2 linked regions of the Arabidopsis thaliana genome follow. The protein of the gene in region 1 interacts with the protein of each later gene in a pairwise test. Each region holds a gene or a part of one and is shown on either strand. Other genes may lie near its edges. The genes, in order: AT5G25570 and AT1G64590.

The links.
Region 2: the proteins of AT5G25570 (region 1) and AT1G64590 interact in a two-hybrid assay, tested with the Arabidopsis thaliana proteins (one large-scale study listed by BioGRID).

Annotation. Positions count from the first base shown.
Region 1 is NC_003076.8:8,898,630-8,905,715, forward strand, and holds AT5G25570 (polyamine-modulated factor 1-binding protein), read left to right. Parts: upstream 1-3,125; 5' UTR 3,126-3,202; coding exon 3,203-3,296; intron 3,297-3,360; coding exon 3,361-3,418; intron 3,419-3,941; coding exon 3,942-4,031; intron 4,032-4,108; coding exon 4,109-4,262; 3' UTR 4,263-4,268; exon of another isoform or gene 4,269-4,356; 3' UTR 4,357-4,587; downstream 4,588-7,086. Other genes in the region: AT5G25560 (CHY-type/CTCHY-type/RING-type Zinc finger protein), read left to right, coding at 857-1,041, 1,117-1,204, 1,308-1,367, 1,426-1,488, 1,594-1,671, 1,814-1,857, 1,952-1,992, 2,101-2,183 and 3 more; AT5G25580 (uncharacterized protein), read left to right, coding at 4,921-5,106, 5,336-5,446, 5,561-5,647, 5,730-5,767, 5,848-5,929, 6,072-6,178, 6,276-6,414, 6,501-6,593 and 2 more.
Region 2 is NC_003070.9:23,990,087-23,997,172, reverse strand, and holds AT1G64590 (NAD(P)-binding Rossmann-fold superfamily protein), read right to left. Parts: upstream 3,697-7,086; 5' UTR 3,582-3,696; coding exon 3,461-3,581; intron 3,364-3,460; coding exon 3,132-3,363; intron 3,035-3,131; coding exon 2,955-3,034; intron 2,865-2,954; coding exon 2,708-2,864; intron 2,474-2,707; coding exon 2,392-2,473; intron 2,306-2,391; coding exon 1,973-2,305; 3' UTR 1,664-1,972; downstream 1-1,663. Other genes in the region: AT1G64600 (copper ion binding / methyltransferase), read right to left, coding at 111-194, 296-396, 480-574, 649-722, 800-1,177; RTFL22 (ROTUNDIFOLIA like 22), read left to right, coding at 7,076-7,086.

The sequences.
Region 1 (7,086 bases):
CTCTTAGTTATTCTTCAAGAAGGCGGCATGAATGCTCACTTTGTTTGTAGTCTGCTTATCTCAGCTATGGTCTCCATAGTGAGTTTCCCTTAGAGCATATCTCGTTGTTGTCCATGATGAAGTTTTTGCTCCATGCGGATCTTGTGAACTTGCTAGTAGAATTTTTCCGGGTAACGGCATCAGAAGATTTTTATTCCTTCGATTATGGGGTTACCATTTAGGTCAAGCCAAAACAGGTCAGCTTTAAAGATGGGGGTCCATTAACTAGGAGTACCCTTCAAGCCTTTGTTTCCTTAAAGAAATTTCTGATTCGTATGTTGACTGAAGAGATCTGGTGCAAAGTGGCAGTGGGAGGTAGGTCTATCCTCTTTGGACACTTACCCATCTCTTTAAAACCCGGTTATCCCAAGTTTTATGTCAGTCCCAAACCTTGTTTGATGGTGTTTGCCTTGCTTTTACGATAGGTTGGTCATATCCGGTTGAAACTGGATAGATTTCCCAAGATTGAAGGACTGAAGTGAACACTCAATGTGCTAAGCTTTTATTTCTCTATGAAAGCTCCATCAACCAAGAGGGCTGTTTTTAGTTGTTTAACAGGGTATTTGTAGATCTTCTTGTTTTGGTGATTGTTCCTCTTGGAGAAAGCTGATTGGAGCTGTTTCAAAAATGGATTGTCTTGGTGTGGTGCAATGTAGATGGAAGCAACAGTTCATCGAGTTTTTTTGCTGGATTTTCAGGTGACTGATAATGTTTGCGAAATGAGGAATAGATTTTCTAAATATTTTCTTACTTGCAGGTTTCATAAGCTTTCCATCAACTAGCAGTATCTGCCAATATCACAGACAGATAATTCGTAATGGGAGACGTATATTTCAACCATTTCGCTCAGCAACTGCAGATGTCTGACCAAGAGAAGGGTGAAATGTCAAGACATTCACACCCTCATTCAATCAATGAAGAATCTGAGTCGTCAACTCTGGAAAGGGTAGCAGCAGAGTCATTAACAAACAAAGTCCTTGATAGAGGACTAATGGAGTATGGGTAGGTTTTACTCCCTATTTGTATATTCTTAGCTTTGAGCTTGTTTCTTGGATGAATACCCCTATGTTCTTGCAGATGTCCACATTACAGAAGAAGGTGTTGCATTAGAGCTCCTTGCTGTAATGAGATCTTTGGTTGCCATCACTGTCATTATGAGGCGAAGGTAGAGGCTTTTTTCAAGTTATAGATTTCAGGAAACTACTTTTTGTAACCGCTGTTTTCACAAAATCTGTATACTTACTCTTGCAATCATGTCTTTGGAGCAGAACAACATAAATGTAGATCAGAAGCAGAGGCATGATATTCCTCGCCACCAAGTTGAACAGGTAAAGTAGTCTATATATCTTGGTTTCTCGGAGTTATTATTTTATGTTCAATTCCCAGTTGACAAGACCTCTATCTTCTTCTTCACAGGTTATTTGTTTACTTTGTGGTACTGAACAAGAGGTATGTTTTAACTCTTACACTTTCTCTGGATTTTTTCTGCGTTTAGTAATCAGACATTTTCTTAACTTTGTTGGAGATGTAACTCTGTATTTTCTCTGGTACCAGGTGGGCCAAATTTGTATCCACTGTGGAGTGTGCATGGGGAAGTACTTCTGTAAAGTCTGCAAGCTCTACGATGATGATGTAAGTCTCTGAGGAGAACTTATTGCTAAGCTTGTTTGTTGTATCCATATCCTTTTTCTTATGCTATATACCATGCCCTGAGTTTTCCAGGCTTTTTTTTGTTGTTAATGGTTAACCATTATGTTGCTTATCTTGTTTCCAGACGTCTAAAAAACAGTACCACTGCGATGGGTGTGGAATTTGCAGGTACATTCTTGGACTTCTCTTTAACATACAACATGTTTGATTTAATCCACACGATATATATTTGTTCATAACTAAAATCTCTTTTTCGTTTCAGAATCGGAGGACGTGAAAATTTCTTTCACTGTTACAAGTGTGGTAAGCCATTTACTGCATCAGATTTCAGATAACCTCAAATTTTCCGATTGGGCACCGCTATATTTGTTGATTTTTACAATCTAACCAGCTCTCTGATTCTCAAACCAGGCTGTTGTTATTCAATCCTCCTCAAGAACGGTCACCCTTGTGTCGAAGGAGCAATGCATCACGACTGCCCCATTTGCTTTGAGGTATTACTTATTGTTGGTTTTTGTTCTACTTCTCCACTGTAAACATGAGCGTCCCTTTGTTAACAAAAACTGTCCTGGCTGGTTTTCTTCCAGTTTCTGTTTGAATCACGGAACGATGTGACGGTTTTACCATGTGGACACACAATTCATCAGAAGTGCTTGGAGGAAATGAGAGATCATTACCAGTAAGTACATTATAAAATTCAGGGGCTTGTGTTCCATTTTGAAATGTTGTTGTATATATCAACTGACAACTCCAAACTATGCCTGCAGATATGCGTGCCCACTTTGCTCAAAATCTGTATGCGACATGTCAAAAGTGTGGGAGAAGTTTGACATGGAGATTGCGGCTACACCAATGCCAGAACCATACCAGAACAGAATGGTCAGTATGAGAACAAAACTTACTTAGTTACACCTTATCCCCTAACCAAGAACTAAAAGTCTTTTTGACGGTGACAAAAACAGGTTCAGATTCTCTGCAACGACTGTGGGAAGAAAGCAGAGGTACAGTACCATGTGGTGGCTCAGAAATGCCCAAACTGCAAATCATACAACACTCGCCAAACCAGAGGCTGAAGCTTTTTTTGAAGTTGATTTGCTATCAAATGCAATTAAGAGCTTTTCACTTGATCCAATAGTGTCATTGGATCCTTAACTTGAGGACTGGGTCTCTCGAGTCTATCTCTTCTCACTCTCTTCTTCAATATTCTCTGAGTCGTCTCTTGTTCACTAGTCTATATGTTTCCTTGGTGTTGTTTGATGGTCTGGTTAGTTTCCATTGTGATTCATCTCCTTTGTAATTCTGCGGCTTTATTGAAAAGTTTCGTTTAATCTGTTAAAAACCCTAAAAAATTTGAACTTGTATGAATAAAAAATTTTAGCTGCTCGCATATATTAATAGGTTTAGAGACTCTTATTAAAGGCCAAAAGCACACGTCTCAAAAATATATCCGTTTCCTCGCTTAGATACGAAACCTCTCTCTTTTTGAAATCTCTCTGACTCTCTCTCGGCGATAATGGCGGAATCACCATCGCAGAGTGATGCACAGCTTGTTGCTCATCAATCTCCTGGTCAGCAAGCTGATTCGGATCTGACGTCTCTCGTCTTCGGTTTGTTTTTTCCTCCTTTTCCTCTGATCCTTGTTCATCCAATTTCGAATTTCGACTGACCTAGAAATCAGGATTAAGCGTGAGTTCTTCATGTTTGTGAAGTCAAATGCTCTTATGATTTGGTATTTAACGAGATTTGTGCTTACTTAATGGCTTAATCGCTTCATCTAATCTTGATTTCGCTTAAAAAACTGTGGAATCGAGATGTGTATTAGAATCCGCCATTGTTCGTTGCTTCTCTCGCAAATAGATCTGTAGGTGATACTTAGAGTGAAAGATGTGCATTTTCGTTGGTTTTATCAATTTTGGTATCTCAGAGTTGCTATATTTTGTCATCCAGATTCTGTATACTCTCTATACACTCTTCTTTAACCTTTTGGCTTATGCAAATTGAATTAGTAAACCTTGTTAAACGTTTCATGGATTAGATCACCAGTGGGTGGATTGAGATTACAAGTCAATGTTGTGTCTATTTCGCGAATTCTGTATGCTCTCGATACACTATCCTTTAACTCTTTGGCTTGTTCAATTGCATATTAGCAAACACCATAACTCGTTTTAAAGGTTTATCATTATATGTTTCATGGATTAGAATCAGTTGATGGATTGAGACTACAAGTCAGTGTTGTGTGTCTACTTCTTTAGCCATCTCCTGACTGTGTTGAAAACAAACGCAATTGCAGAAATGTCACAGCAAGTTCAGATGGGGATGGAGAATATGCTCAAGATGGTTTAGTAAGTATTGTTTATCTTCTGTTTACTACAACGAATGACTATTTCTGCTGAGTGCTGATCCAGTGCCTTCCCTGCAGTGAAATCGATCAAAACTCGGTTGGAATCAAGGAAGAGATTGAGAAATCAAAGGATTTTGCTATGGAGAAGAAAAGGATCCTCGAGGAAGAGAAAGACCAGTTTCAGAAAGCTGCTTACACTATTCTAGACATGCTAAGCAACAGCCGAGGCTAAATCCAAGTACTCGATTTTAAACCTCTTCACAGCTTCACTTAAACAATGAAACTGCTAAATTCATTATTACCTGATCCACTTCCTCATGTATCAGGTGATGCTCATGAAGAAACTATATCAGGTAAAGGAAATATTAGAAATGTCAACAAAGACTCTCACTGGTTTGGTTTTGGATCCACATATATAAGGTCGTATTAGCTTTACATTGCTATTACTGAAACTTTTATCACAAAGTGTGAATCCAGTATGCAGTATATATTCGTATTCAAGTGAAAAACTCGTAAAAACAGATAACAAATGGAATAAGTATCTGCTCAACTTGTCAGAATTATGTAGTATATGATAGAATTTCTTTGGGCCGTAAGTTTAGTATAAGGAATCAATTATGTGTTCAAGTCGTGTCCAACTAGAGCAAAAAGAAATAAAAGCCGAATTACTAATTTTTCCAGAATAAAGGGACTAAAATAGAAATATAAGAAAATACAAGGAAGAACAAAAAGGGAAATTAATAGCCCTAGGGTGTTGTAGGGTAAATTAGTAAATAGTAAAATCATTTCCTCTTTTGGCGGGAGAATTCCCCCAGAAAAATTCTCCAATTTTATACATTTTCCACTCCCACAAAAACCCATTCATCTTCCACTTTCTCTCTCCGACGAAAATGGTAACGCTCCGCCAGAGGACGATGGTGGTCACCGGAGAACCGGAACAGAAGAAGGAAGAAGAACGACTCTGCGAAGACTTAACGATTCTTTCCTCCGATTCAGACAACGATTCTTCCTCCGATTCGGCGGTGAAGCACTTGCGTGGACGTTGGGAACTTGCTTCGGTTCTCAATTTCTTCAATGTAATGAACCTCTTAGTCGTACATACCAAAGGATTCGATTTTGCCTTTTTCAGATGAATCTTCGTTGTAAACGGAATATTCTTTCTTTCTCTCTCTCATGTAGTAGATTCTAGGGATTTGTTAGAGCTTTTGCTTCTTGCATGCTTCAATTTCATGGGAAATTAAACATTTTGCATCGTTGGTCATGTGATTTTGCTAAAGAGTTTTTTGTTGTTGTGAATTGTGATAGGTCTTTGGACCACTTGTCTCGGAGAAATTGAAGTTCACAGCTGAAGAAATTGAGATGGGTCTTATCGAGTCCAACACTACAAATGCTCAGCTTCACATTGCACTTTTGAAGGTTTTTGATTTTTGTTCTGTTATTGACCTTGCAGCTGTTAATGGTATCTAACAAGCTCAAGTTTATGTGTTTGTTGCCTTATAAGAAACCTTCTGGATGTGAATTTTTCAACAGGGGATACCACCGGTGAATAAAACGCTTGACGATGCAAATGCATGGATCACGGTGTTGTGTAAGAAACTAGCTCCATGGTGGCCATGGGTAAGGCCACACTGAACTCTTTTGTTAGCTTATATCTTCTCTGTGGTTTTCTTTATTGACTCCTGTAATGTCATTGTTGCAGATTGCTAAGGGTGAAATTCATATTACTGTTAACAAAGGGTAAGTGGTGAAATAATGTGAATTTATTCAGGTTGAGTTGGTATTGATAACAACTTTCTTCTCTTCTGATGTATGAATAGGGAGGAAATATCTGAATACCAAGGACTTGACTCTATTAACCGCCTGAAGATTTTGAAGGCACTTTGTGAGCTTCGAGTTCAAGTAATTTTCTTCTCTTCATTTAAGTTGTTGAAGTGTATTTTTAATGCATGCCTCTTTGGTTACACATATGGAAAGAAAAAACTATATCATTACTAGTTGCATTTGTTACTCATCGTCTTGTTTCCATTGGTGGATGGTGTAGCAAGATGATGCACGTTCGTATATTCAAGAAAATACCAAGGAAGGAGACTGGGATTCTAGTTTACGCAAGAGGAAGCTAGGAGGAGATGGAAAGAAGACTTCTTATTGGTAGTTACACTTACTTGTCCTATCACTTCTTTCTATGTTACTACATCTGGTGTGAATGTGATCAACTTTTATCTTTTTTTTTTTAATTTCGTTCTAGGTTTGATGGTAATGATATCCAAGGTTACAGATTATATAGGGAAGTCAATGGAATCTCAAAGAAGAATGCTGGCTCAGATTTATCTTGTTTGAGCTGGGAAACTGAAGCAACCAATCTAGATGAATTTCAGAGTGTCGCTGTAAGATTTTGATTGTTGTTTATGCTTCTCCTCTTTAAGATGTGTGGAACTATTTTTCATTCATTAAGTATGTCCTGTAATGGCAGAGAGAGTTATCATCAAGCAAAGCTTCTTCTTTGGCTGCAACTGGGCAGATGATTGAGACAGAAGCTATACCCGTTGTTGAGAAATATCATAAAGTATCTCTCAAATTCCTTCTTTATGTTTATGCACATATCTGCTATATCATGTTTTTTATGGTGTTTCAATTTTTATTGCAATAACAGAAGAGAGAAAGGGCCATAAAAAAGAAAATGAAGGAAGAGATGGTCGTTAATGTCAATTTCTCGCGTCCTCTCCGAACTACTCGTTCTTGTCGTAACCACATGCCTGCTACTTACACCTTTGGTATAGTCATATTTTCTTGCGTTTCTTCCGCTTGTTTGATATATTATTTACCTGTTGGCGTGGCTTATTAGTTTGCATATCTTATTATCCAGACGAGTATGACAAGATGATCAGTGATGCCGTGGAAGAAACAGAGTAAGAACTTGACTTCTTTCTTAATCCAAGTCATCTATCCACCAATATTTAGCACATATGAGATAGTATTTTCATTTGGGTAAATCAACTCTCAAATAATCTGATGAACTATAATGAAACCACTGTTGATCCCTTTTCAATGGCGGATAT
Region 2 (7,086 bases), on another chromosome or scaffold:
ATAAAAAAATGCACAGTGCACACAGAGATAACATGTGAGGAGAAGTACACGTTCTAGTATAAAAAGAAGTCATTGAGGAGAATGAAAGATGAAAAAACTCAAAGACATACCAAGAGATCATCTGTAAGGTCCCAGAGCTGGCGAACCACAGTAATCCTGTCTTTCAGAGATGGTATCTCCCCTAACACATAGGACTTAACCACAACAGAATTTTTTTTGGAAAACATGCTCAGTAAAAAAACAAACTTGTAAACAAGAATCATAGCTAATGCGAGTGATAAAAGAGATAACCCACAGCGATGACAAGATCATGTTTCCTCTCAGACTTTTTGTTGATCTCTTTATTAAGAGCTAGCAGGCTAGTATACCCATGGATCAGAGGCAAATCCTTAAGGCCTATCATATTCACAACAATGGCAAAGATCAGAATCAATCACTACACTCAAGTGTTTAGCCAGAGACTATCAAAGTGAAATTACCCTGGATTAAGTTACGTCCTGCACGCTGCATTGATTGAGATGGTTCCACTATATTTACTTTCTCCACAGACTTAGGCCAAACCTCTTTAACCGCCCTGCAAGATGTTACAACGAATCAATAATCAAAATAAAACTACCAAAGATAACAGGGAAACATCTATCTCCTCACCAGAAACCTGAACCAGTGCCAGCACCAAAATCCAGCACTCTTGTAGGCGTAAAACCTGGTACTCTTCGACGAATCTATATAAGAATTTAACAAATCTCAAGCTCAATTCTCTACACAACTATCCCAAATGGTATCACCAATGAGAAAGTACCTCGATGAGGACTCTATAGCAGACGGAAAAGACGGCAGGCATACGAGAAGCAATGTAAGCAGCAGTCTCACCGTCTCTGTATTGGAGACCGCTATCTCCATAAACGGTTTGTATCTTCCATCGTTTGGTCTCTAGCGAGTTCATAGAATCAGCCAGACTCTTGGCCGTGGTTTCAGGTAACTGAAGATTGGTGTCCTTGATCTCTTGGAATGATTCCGATAACTGACGCACCTTCTTCCTAATGTGAGGATCATCTTCCTCGCGGAGATATTTCTTAATAGCGCGGCGGAGACGGACGGGGACGACTAGGCAGCGGAGACACTGTTTCGATGCAGATCTTAGGGTTTCTACAGTGAAGACTTTCTGGGCATTCGCCATTTTCAGCCGGAGCTTGAACTGAAATGGAAGTTGCAGGAGGAGCCGAGAGGTTTTAGCCTCCGAGGAGGGTCTAGGGCTTAGCGTTATGGGCCTTTCAAAGAGCCAAATGTTTCTATAATGGGCCTAATGAGGCCTTTATTATAGCAGTGATTAGTGATTATTCGAGATCCATTTGACGAGTTGTTGACAAATCGAAATTTGGTATGTATTTTGAAAAGGAACCAAATTAGGCTTGTGGATAGGATTTCATTTCATTCTTTGGAGGAGGGTCTAGGGCTTAGCGTGATGGGCCTTTGAAAGACCAAATGATTATTTAATGGGCCTAAAAGCCCTTTATTATAGCAGTGACTAGCATTATTGGCCCATTTGAAGAGTGGTTGCTAATATTGCAAAGGAACCATATTTGGATTGTGTGGATGGATATGATTTCATTTCAGTGATCAACAGAAATAAACAAATTTTTATAAGAGTATCAAGATCAAGATTATGAAATTCTGTGATGTTTTTGATTGATATATGTATATATTACATAACAAGGACCTAGCTAGCTAGGATTACAAAACCCTACAAGCTAAGTAATATATATATATATATATATTAGCAATAATGTCAAACCATAACCACATATTAAATATAGGGAGGCTTGCTATATGCACACGTAACACAACTACACACACACATCCCATTTCATCTATAGTATATATTTCTATAACTATATATATTATAAAGCTAATTATATTACTATATATAGGGCTTAAGATTTACACGTAGAAAATAGCTAGGATGGTTTGTTGGTTAAAAGGAGGTATGAGAAAGATTGGTAGTGGAATTAGGTGGAGAAACCAACAAGTCAGAAGCAGTCCAGAGTCTCTGAGCTTTGAGATTGCATGACCCGGATTTAGATGACCTAGCTTCGTTGCAGTCGGAGAAGTACTTGCCACACACGTTCCTCAATCTTGGACTTGTTGCCACGTAACATGTCGTAGCTGCTGCCTGAGGAACAGACTTCAATAGCTTGGATGTCAAGAAAAACACTAAATCAGTGACGACGCCTTCTCGATCTCTTGTGAGACGGGTTTTCACGATACCAGGATGAACACAATTGGCCGTCACATTCGCATCCATTTTCTGCATATATATTGTAGTTTATTATTAGAAATGAGGAGATAAATTGTTACTTCCTACCAAATAGTTAAATTTGTATAATAACGTACATGGAGAAGCCGTGATAGCTCAACAGTGTGGAGCACGTTGGCGAGCTTGGAGAGAGCGTAGGCTCGAGTCGCGTCGTAATTTCTGTAAAACGCAAAGTTAAAGCTATAATTAGTGGGTCAAACTCAAGTCACAAAGTATAAACTATTATTATTCTCTCTGAAAATATGATTTTAAATAAAGGAAAAAGACGAGAGGACGACGGCGTTTATTTTTGTCGTCGCATCACCTTTTTGTTGTACTTATTATTAAACAATGATTAATTATTCGCTATATGATTGGAATGATATTTTCTAGCTTATACTAATTAAAAATTACCTATTGTTTCGTGAGATATCGGCGAGATATTGCAACATATCACCGGAAAACCAGCTATGGACGACGGACGTGACGTTGACGATACGGCCTTGCACGCCGGTTTGTGCCGCCGTTTCAATCATCTTCTTTAACAGCAGTTTAGTCAGCAGAAAATGGCCTAAACACACCATGAATTACTATTAGAGAACATATAAATCAATGAATGATATATTATAAGTCAATGATGGATTTATGAAAACTTAATTACCGAGATAATTAGTAGCGAAGGTCATCTCCACACCGTCCTCAGAGAGGGCATGCTTATGCGCATATTTCCCAGCATTGTTTCTGTTACAAACACAAACCAAAAAAGTTTACAAAAGGTTAGAAAAAATCAGATAAAAACATTTTCGCTATATGATTATGAAGATAGAGTTTAAATTACATGAGGATGTTGAGTGGGAGATTGAGAGATTCGAAATCGTCCACGAATCGACGAACAGAGGTAAGTGAGCTGAGATCAAGATGCATAACGATGATCTCCGCATCAGGAAACTCCGACAGTATACGAGCCTTTGTTTCCTCGGCGGTTTTGACGCTTCTAGCCGGAAGCACAAGTCTTGCGCCACGCTTAGCAAGAACACGCGCCGTCTCAGCTCCTATCCCCGACGTCGCGCCTAGTAGAAAAGAAACAGAGAGACTATTAGTTAGGAAACTCATTTTGCGACTCGGTTAAGTTGAAAAAGAAGAAGTAACTTTAAGTTTATGACTAACCAGTGATGATGGCAGTTAGAGAACGGAGATCAGAATTACAAGTGACATGATCGGCGGTGGATCTTGACCCGAATCCGCTGGGACCACCGGAGCCGATCAGGTGTTTAACCGTCTCAATCATCTTTTTCTATATTTTCTCTCGGTTTCGGTTATGGGAGAGCAGTTGAGTTTGAGTGTTGGGGTTTTGGTCTTAGGGTGATGAGACTATTTATAGTGCTACATCTTTGAGGAACAAATGCGGATAAAGGGAGACAACATTTTTTTATGTTGTATCATTCTTAATGTTTTTGTAAAAAAAAACGAGTAAAAATAATTAGTGTATAAAATTTGGTTTTGATTGGCACCAAAACAAGTTAAAACGGAGTAATTTGATTAAAATAAAAGGTTTAGTTAGCCAACTCTATTTGACTAAGAGGAATGATAGAGGAAGATGAATCATATAGCAAAATTATAATTGAAATTTATGTGAATACAAACCATAATCGTCCAAAATATATAAAGAAAAACTGTAATATAAAAGCAGAAACAATGCATAGATAGTGCCTTGTTTTGGGTAACACTCACTATTTACTAATGATGTCCAACTTTCTAATGGTATTATCCTCCGAATCTTTACATTTTAAATATGGTCCCCCTCCTATACTTTTATAATCATCATAAGAAGTGAAGGAAACTCTATCTCCCAGACCTAGTCACACACTCTATTGAAAAGTGCAGGTTTATCTACATGGACCTAAGATGTATCCAATTTTCATTTACAAAATGTATAAACCCAACTGTAGGGATGATGGTCTTATTACATACAAGTTTCTCAACTCCATAGAGCGTTTACAGTTATTTGTATGTAAATAACTGTAATACTTGTATACCGCGCTACAATAATTGTTATGAATGCTACAAGTGCATTTAGGACCGCTTATACTCTAAACGAAGGAATATAACAAAGACTTGATCCTTTTTTAAAGCCTCTTATAATATATCATTTGTATATGATTCATACATCAAACACGTAGTTAAAGTGATATTTTCAGAATATTCTTAAATTCCACCTTTAGGTAAATTGTCTTGTAGTTAATTTTCCTTTGTAAAATTGTAAGTGGTTGAAGCAAAAGATACGGTGGAGAATGGCACAATAGAGTAAGCTAATTGGTCTCTCTGTTCTTGGAGGATCCAATCCGTCAATGGATGAGAAGAAGATCTTCAAGCCTCAATATGAAATTCATCATAAAGTAATCTTACCCAAATCCAACTACTACCCACTAACAATTCCACTAATTTCTATTTTTATTTTTATTTATAATATGTTTCAACTCTATATACATGTGTCCTATTTGCAGGTCCAGAATGATCCATCTAATTAGTATTAAAAATTTTCCTCATAATTATAAATCATCTTACGTCAAATTCAATATAAGGATAATCTTGAAGTTTTCTCATCAAGATAGAATATTACTTTACAGAGAAATTGAATATAATTAGTAAGTTATCAGATTATTTAATTTGCATCATGTCCTTTAATTGTAGAAGAATTTGCAAAGATACATTAGGTTATGGAATACATATTCAAATGTATTTATATGAAAAAAAAATCATCTCATGAAAAAAAGAGAGAAAAGTTGCTATCATTTCACTATATAGAGACCACGTTTCGTCTACAAAACAATGATTTACGTTTTGTGAATCTATTATACATATTTTCAATGATCTACATTTTGTGAATCTATCATAAATATTTTCAATGATTGGTCTTAAATTTTGAAAGATTTATGGATCGAAAATTCATTTCTTTTTTCTCTCTATTAAAGAAAAAGGTGGTCCAACCTCCAAGAATCAATAATTAAGCAAATTTTGCAGGATATAATATGAATGATACAAGAGACGTAGAGATAAACTCAAAATTGATGAAGTGTTTTGAATAAATAAACTCCTCCACCTTGGGAGGCGTTGTCTCTTCCAAGGATCCCACACTAAAAAAAAATATGATCGTTGGGTGAGAGACGTTGAATATACATTATATACAACTTTTTGATTAATGGGAATAAGAAAAGAGACTCCTCCACCTTTGGAATTGGAACGACCTTGACAATGTTGGAATCTTTGCTTTATGTATAAAACGGGTTAGGTTGTGTAATTGGACACCAACTTGCCAAGAGAGAGTTGGTCACATCCTTTTTCTATTTGGCATGCCACTATTGCTACCATTTTTATCTTGTTATTAACCAATCATTTTATTAGTTTTATTGGTAGCCTTTTGGAGAACTATTACATATATTCAAGCTATTATGGTCCATACAGTCTGGGATTTTTGTGAGTGGCTACCTGATTCTCTCTTTTGTAATCAGTTTCATACTCTTTTCTTCCATGAATGGTTAGATTCTAATATTTGTTGACCGACGCTATTTTTTATATAAAAAGAATCTACATATAAATATACTTTTTTTTTTTGCTTAAGTTGGTATAATTAACGCCCGTTCCTTATGCTACTATATCACAAGCTGAATTAGCAAGATACATACTCAAATCAGTCAATCTTAAGGACTATTTCTATGATTTTGTGGTTTGAACGAAAAATTGTTGGAAACATTGGTTACTTACTTGCCTACTTGGTAAATCCTCTTGATAGATCACAACAACATGTATTGGTCTTCTTGTTACAACAATACATAAAAAAAAATATAGAGAAATCCAACCGGGTCGAGTGAATGTTATTGTAAGTTTGTAACTTTGTGGTTTTACACGTTGACTATATATTAGACTTGAATAACTTGTGGCGGGCGATATATCCTATAAAGTTTTAAAAAATGATTTCTTTAATCGATACGTTTTTGAATTTTTGATAGTGTGATGTATAAGTGTAGATCCCTTACGTCTTAATACAAGATCGTATCTTGGTTTTAATTTATAATAATATTAATCACATTAAAATAAGTAAGCACGAGTTTCGTTGATCAAAGCACAGCCACGAGATTCATGAGCTATGGATTTACATGAAACGTCTCCGTGTTAAATACCTAGTCAGATTCAACCTTCAAAAATTTTCAAAGAAAATTATACTTGAACCATTATCGAAGATCTTTAACGCCTAAATTAATTATGAATTTCAAGTGATCAAGATTTCTACGCAAACTAATAGTAATAAATAATATATTAGAGAAAGACAAGAAAGTGAGGGCCAAAATTTTTACGAGTTTATGATTCATTTTCCAAGGCATGCATGCCTAAAACCAGGGTATTATATTGACTTGAGGTAGTAAGAAAAAAATGCAGAGTTATAATTAAAAATCAACGGACAAGTGTAAGGTGAAACAACTGACAATTGATGGAAGTTTGTCATTTTGAGGAGAGACAGAAAAATGAGTAAAGTAACGGTTGTGTTTTGCAGAAGACAGTTACTCTGGACGGTTGGTTTGAAGAGACTGATCCTAATAGAGTAGTAATATGCAGCACGACAAAACAGAAAAACCCCTGAAATGCACAATACCAATCAAATCCTTAGTTGAAGTCTTTGCCTGAGTCTCTTGTTTCACATTCATCTTAATGACTCAGAGAAAACATACCCTGAACCAACTTATTATAAAGGGGGAAAGAAAAGTTGGCTTTTGATGGGCACATAAGATGATTGTGAA